Tribolium castaneum: one gene and its partner. The protein of the gene in region 1 purifies or fractionates together with the protein of each later gene. This does not show direct contact. Links are inferred from orthologs where the notes say so. Each region holds a gene or a part of one and is shown in the gene's direction. Other genes may lie near its edges. The genes, in order: Myb and lin-52.

Evidence for each region.
Region 2: the proteins of Myb (region 1) and lin-52 purify together in Drosophila melanogaster (affinity purification with western blotting; 3 studies listed by BioGRID, with this or other methods). This does not show direct contact. The link is inferred for Tribolium castaneum from reciprocal best matches to the Drosophila melanogaster genes Myb and lin-52.

What each region holds. Positions count from the first base shown.
Region 1 is NC_087396.1:14,741,337-14,745,165, forward strand, and holds part of Myb (myb-related protein B), read left to right. Parts: intron 1-2,595; coding exon 2,596-2,725; intron 2,726-2,894; coding exon 2,895-3,044; intron 3,045-3,655; exon of another isoform or gene 3,656-3,829. UniProt on the Drosophila melanogaster protein: DNA-binding protein that specifically recognizes the sequence 5'-YAAC[GT]G-3'. Component of the DREAM complex, a multiprotein complex that can both act as a transcription activator or repressor depending on the context.
Region 2 is NC_087402.1:6,135,743-6,138,927, reverse strand, and holds lin-52 (protein lin-52 homolog), read left to right. Parts: upstream 1-1,544; 5' UTR 1,545-1,658; coding exon 1,659-1,692; intron 1,693-1,885; coding exon 1,886-1,975; intron 1,976-2,026; coding exon 2,027-2,128; intron 2,129-2,181; coding exon 2,182-2,327; 3' UTR 2,328-2,574; downstream 2,575-3,185. Other genes in the region: probable protein phosphatase 2C T23F11.1, read right to left, coding at 394-1,012.

The sequences.
Region 1 (3,829 bases):
GATAATAACAAGAAAAAACATGAAGTTACATTTTGTAGTTATCCTCAAGTGGCGCCAAAATTATTCCAAAACGGCACCAGTTAGTTTAAGAAATAGAAGTTTAAGCATTCAATCATCATGTTGTCGTGGTCGCTTCCTCTTCAAACAGTTTAATCTTTCTGGTGTGGAAACGTGAACCTGACCCAAATCCGGCGGCCCAGGTGTCGGCGGCGGCGCTTATCGCCACATCCATTCTGATAATCGTCACGTGCCCGATTCTTTTGGGTCTTTTTGGTATAGCAACACCAGCGCAGATGCGGTCTAGCCCCACGCATCGCTATTGTACACACACGAGCGGCAGCTGCGTAACACCCCCGTGTCAAAACGCGGCATATTGCCAATACGATGGGGTACATTGTACATTCGAAGGGGTAAATCGTTTTAATTGTCGTCGTATCTCGAAAAACACAAAGGCCGCAGCAGCCGTCCACTAATTAAAGCAATATCGGTCGTTCGCCAATCAGGTGCATTATCCTCTACCCCTATATCCTCTGGTTCATTACTCCGGCCTAACTGTAGTGCAGTTCAATGTCCAGTGTAAGGCAAGGACCCTTTCGCCCACATCCCCTCGGAAGACAGGTGCAATTCATCTAGAAAAGCACATATGTCGCAGACACGTGCTACCTTCAATTTCGTTTTGATCCAGGAGAAGACGGTTTCGGCGACAGTTGGTAGCGCTGCCACCTACTGCGGTGGTAATTGACTTCGAGACGGGGAAAAGTAAGCAGCAAATTGCAGAGTGAAGGTCGAGGAAAAGTGGCAATTGGATGGTGGTTGACGTACCGAGAATATTATTCCATAATCCGGTTTCACAGAAATTTAAATAACAACACTTCTGCTTTAAACCCGACAATTTACCGGGAAATGGCCTAATTTAATTTGAATAATTCCAAGCGCACATAAAACTACAATAAAACCTTTCGAAACTGCACTAATTAACCTACTAATTTTTGGTGATGTACACAATTCTTCCAGGTACATGAAAAATACAAAGCGGCATCTTTATGGCTTTAAACCCTTGCTTATCCACCTTATTTTGCCACCGACCGCGAGGTCATTGTAAAGTATGCAAATTTGAAAATATGGACATAAACGTGTCTTGTCTTGAAAAACAGCATCCGATATGATCTTCCAACATTGTTCCATAAAGTCTGATCCCGAAGTTGTTTTCCCAAGAGTTCTGTTCAAAAGATATTTTTCCGCACACGGGGAACCCCAAATTTTGGGCCTATGTCGAATCTAATCCATTAAAACATTTTTTTGTATATTTTTTCTGTTCCTGTTTCTTATTATTATTATTACTCTTGTCGGTAATAATATATCCAACGGATTTGAAAATATTTTAAGTCTTTTTTACGCGCTCATTGTCTATAAGAACACCTGACGTAACTCGTTAATTGGTAATACATTTTCATGAAAAGTGTACAAGTATTAGTGTACTAATTTATGTGCATACTAAACTCTGAAAGCATTGTTAACGAAGTAAATTCATGCACAGAGAGTCAATGAATATCCATATTTGTCACTGGGTGTAATGTAAATAAGATAAGGATCCACTATCTCATCTTTATTTATCCTTTTCAAATTGATCCTAAAATCGCACCAGGACTAGAACGATACTCGTGACATTTTTTCGTTTTCTCCCATGGAGTAGCGGTGGCTGTAAACAAATCCTCCCAGCGTGGGCGCAGTGGAGCCGTTGAACGCTTTTTCCGCAACTAGACGCTAAAAATTTCCCATTGTCGAGCATTCGCTGCTAATGCTCACGGTATGCGTCTGGTGAAGTCAGATCGAGTGTAAATAAATCGACAACATATGGCAGTGTATCTGGTTTCTCTCGTGTTCCAAATGGTGGTAGCTTCATCAGCGCCAATAAACAATCCGCATAAAACGAAAAGTGATTATTTTAATTGCCCTTCGGAGGAAATATTATCTCATTGATCGAACTTCATTATAAAAACGATATTAGGTCATCCGGTCTGTGGCGATATGCTTGACGAACGCACTTAAAGGAAGGCTTCCTGTCATTGTCACGCATTTCCGCCATAGGGTGGTTGGTTTTCGGAAGGAGCGAATTTTACTTTGCCGCTGATTAAACGAGGTCTCACAAACACACAAAGGGTCTGGTTTAATCGAGACCTGCCAGGTAAAAGATATTCGGAAGATTATTTGCATTGTGAATCTTCTTACGCTGAATAGAAAATAGGCCATTCCCATAGGAAAATTTCGGAGGGGAAGGCCCACAATGATGGGGTGAGGCCGACCCCGAACTTGGTCATTGCTATGACTAAGTGCAGAGGGGTGGTTGCATGTTGAAGCCTGTGTATGCTGATCGTAGAAAGGGGAGATTTTCAGACATCGAATGATTATTTTGATTGCTAGATTTTGGGAAAAGAATATTTTTTGTAAAAGCCACCCTGCAGTGTTGATTGCCTTCATACACCTGGCTTGACCTTTGATCCCATTGCATTCTAAAGTTACGCAAAGTCCCCCAAATTTTGGTGGGAAAAATTCGCCCCCTTTGTTCCCGCCCTAAGCAGATTTCTATTGTTGCAGATACCGAAAGGAAGATTCGGAAATCGACATTTCTGGAAATGAGGATTCCGACTCTTCAGCATTCACCGAAGAACCTCAACATTCCAAAACGAAGAAACCCATAAACAAGGGCCGGTGGAGCAAAGAGGAGGTAAGGAAGAGAAAATAGTTTAACATATAGCTGGTGTTCTTTATCGAACACCTGCTTTGAATTAATTATCGTTTCATTAGCTCGCTTTGCTATTATTTAGCAAGCTCGCCGTTGACAGACTAGATAATAGATGGAAATTCCAGTTTGTTAATGTCCAAATTGATTACAGGACGCCCGTTTGAAGCAGCTGGTGGAGGAATACAACGAGAAATGGGATGTGATTGCGGAGCTTTTCCCAGATAGGTCGGACGTCCAATGCCAGCAGCGCTGGACCAAAGTGGTGAATCCCGAACTGGTCAAGGGCCCCTGGACCAAAGAGGTGAGCGTGACCCGATTTACTAACAGCCAAGGACGCCTGCCTTCATCGGCATTCTCCGAGCGTCCGGAAAAAATTCTTTAATGACGCGTTACTTCCTTTTTGTCTTTTGATGAGCGTATCTCCATCGGCTATTGAGAGAAAATTGCTTTTCTTCTTATTACGAGACGTCTTGTGCAATGAATGTGTAGAGGTAACACACAAAGGGCATTGCCCCTCTTCCGTTCATGGTGGGAACCGGTATAGCGAGAAATTCTACAGAAGGGTTTCTTCGCTTTTGTCTTGGATATCTCGACATGCTTGGGCGCACCGAGAAAAAAGGGGCGAAGACATCGTTCGACTCGGGGGAAAATAATGTCAACAAGCCAAAATTAGCAAACACCAGGTCCGAATTTTGTGCGTAACGGTGGCCCTTCCAAACGTATTTCTCCGGTGCGGCTTTAATTAGTACGCTCGATCGGCTTCTTAATAGCCATAGAAATGATTACGACTGAGTTGCAGTGAGATGGACTGCACGGGTTATCATAAATATGCGATAAATTTCCCACAGTTCATTAATTTGCTTACATTATGCACTAAGTGGTAATTTTCCGCCAAAGCTTGAATAACTTCAGTTAACAAATTATTTTGTTTAATTCGGAGCTTATCTTATTTTCAAACAATAATAAATTGTATCCACCTCTACTGTGTTTGTTTTCTTGTTTGTGTTTGTTTGTGTACACCATGTGCGCTTGCCGACAACGGTCTTATATTACAGGAATACATTGTTGAAGTTTTATCCATAATTG
Region 2 (3,185 bases), on another chromosome or scaffold:
TCAAGTGATATCACGAATGTTTTTCTTCGGATGTCGGTGTGTTAACAACCTGACGTAGTTCAGATAATGCACACTTTGTGACGTTATACGAGGCGATAAGTTAGTCTTTTAATCACTTAGTGGTGGTCGCCTATTAATAACAATTGTAAATATTTTTAATTAATGAATGACACAAGTGGAACACCGCCAGATTACTTAATTCGTAACATATGCTGACAACGTAACTTTAAAAATAACACACCCTTTGAATCAAATGGGACCATCCATCAACTGATGTAATTATTTACCTAAGTACCCAATTACTCACTTGATCTAAATATACACAATTCATAAAAGACTAACATAAATATTGACAGTGTTTAAACAAGATTAGCTCGCAATTTCCAGACTTACCTGTAACGATTTGTTCCTCCTGGGGTTTATCCTCGTTTCTTTTGAAAATAAAATCACCGAGGGCCCTGGAAAGGGCCAAGTTCCCGTTAACCCTGTTGTAATCAACAAACCCTCCCGCCGCTACGATCCTGTCGTACTCCTCCTTGTTGTTCGGCTTGTGGTCGTTCGAAAGCGGCTCCGCCTTGCCCCCAATGCTCGCCACAGCTCTAGAGTCCCCCACGTTGGCGCAGTACAACGTGCCATTTTTGATAATAATAGTGACGGCTGTGGAGCCCGACTGCTCGTTTCTCAACGACTCATCCTCCAGCATGACCCGGTCGATCTCCAAGAAGGCCTGCTTCAGCCCCTCCTCGATCTGGCCGTTCTTGTACTCCTCCCGGTTCGTGATAAACTTGTGCAGGTGCTTGCCCGCGTACTCCGAGATCTTGGAGCCCCCATGCCCGTCGTAGACCGCGAAAAACGCGGCCTCGGGGTCGTCCGGCAGGGACAAGATGTGCGTATGGGAGTCCTCCATGTTGATGCGCCAGCCCTGCATCGAACTTGAGCCCACTTGGAAATTGGCGTTTTGGCAGCATGCTGTGTTCTTGGCAGTCACCGGTTCGGACAAAGTTTGACCCATAGTACCCCTGAAAGGGCGATAAGTCCGCAAAAAGCGCAAAAACACGAGGCAAGCGGGAAAAAACCGTCGCTACTTACTCAAAATTGAACTCTGCTCTTTGGATGGGTTTTATTTAGCATACTTGTGCTAAATCGAATCGCATATTTTGCGTACGCTAATTAACACCGCTTTTTGCTGTTGTGTGTCACGAGATATGGAACGCAATATTTAGGTTAATCGGGAGAGAACTCTTCGAAAAAAGAGAAACTTGACGTTTGAATGTCGAGCTGGGACGCGGCCGGCTGAGTGCGTCATCGCCTGTGCACAAGGCCGAAAACTTTTTTATGTCCTAAACAATAAAAATGTGCGGCACGTTCTTCAAATAAAAACTATTGACAATAAATTCGTTGTTACTTATTACTAATTAAATTACGATTTGATTTTACAATCTTGGCGAGGGAAGCGCCAACATTGCGACACTTAATACACCAGCCAAATTTAAAAACCAAACTTTTACGAAATTGGGGGCAAGTGAATCGGGGTTGACACCCAATTAGGGTCATTTGCGACTTTTGCTCGTTCTGTATAGTGTTTCTTTGCCGCTTTCAAAGTCCCCCTAAAAGCGCAGCCTTTTGATTACGTTTGCTGCAGTTGGCACAATTGCAAGATGGCGTCCGAGAAACCCGGGAGCATTGAACAAGGTAAAGCATTTTTAATAAAAAATCACCCTGTAAATGTTACTTTTGGCTCAATTTAATTATTAAACGATTGTTGAGGCCTTGCATGGACAGTTTACGCGAAATTGTCGGCTAGCGTGCGTGGACAAGTTCGCATTTTAAACAGAGTGGCTTATGTCAATCTGTCAAAATATAATTGATTTGTTGCATTTCCTAGAGCAAGATCAATCTTTGAGCGATCTAGAGCAGACCTTAATGAGTATGGAAAATCTGGATAGAGCCTCTCCAGAAATTTGGCCAGAGAAGTGTAAGTAGCGTTGCACATGTTTGTGGGATTAGGGCAATAATAGGGTTTCAGATCCAGGAATGACAGATTTTGTAAACAGTTTCACGCCACCAAGTGCCGTAAAACTGCCTTACTCGAAGGAATTGAGTCAGGATGACCAGAATTATCTGCACCGTAAGTTTGGATTAGTTTTTGTGTGATTGTAGAGAAGAGTGTGGTTTTTGTAGAATTAGCAGCTCTTCCAACAGCTGGACTGATTTCTAAAGTCAAGGAGTTGCATGATATTGCATATCAGTTGGGTGTTGAGGAATCGAAAGAAGTCACAAGGGGGAAATACTTAAATGTTTTTAAGCCCAGGCAGAAGCAGAAATGATTTGCAATTTGTTACCTAAGTAGAGGTTCCAAATAACGTGGAAGTTATAAAAAGAGCAGGGGAAATATATTTGTACATAGGATTATAAGTTTAAGTTTAAAGAAGTGATTGTACGTTAATTTCCTGGAGAAAATCATTTTTGTAATGTATTATTAAGCAAGTGCTTCAAAAGGATTTATGTATTATATTGCACTGCTGAAGTTTCGTTTGTATAATAAAAATCGAAAATAAATTTGGTTTTGTAAAAGGTGTCTTCATTTTCTACAATTAAAATTTTGTTCCCCGTTAGCTCACCAAAACAATAATGAGGTGATGCATTATTATTATTATTATTATTATTATTATTACTGAACCCAGCAGCTTCCTAGATTAAAAATATCCGGTGGAATGTAAATTGATAATTATTTTTGCAGGAGATTAAGCTCTCTAATAGGGCCTTCAACTGTAAAAAATCATGTTCGGACAAACATTCCTTAGGACCTTAACATTTTTTTAATTTTTATAAAATTTCTCGATTTTGCAAATTGCGTTAAAAAACTCGTATTTAAGGATTGCTCTAATTAGTCAAATTAATAACTCATTTGTCCAGCAAGAACCAGAAGAAGGTTTAGAACATTCTTGCCAGGAAAAAAGGAATTAAGGATGAGGTAAACAATGATTATTAGAAAATAAAGGAATTATTTATGAAAAAAAAACAACACATAAATCAAATATTTTTTACTTGGCGTTAAATAAGATGCACCTACCTTCATATGGTTTCTGCGTTGGCTACTGTTTGTAGTTTGAAAATGTAAAAATTTTTACTTTTATGAATTTTGTGTCCGTTTCTGCTCTTTTAGAGCGTTATTAATTATTATT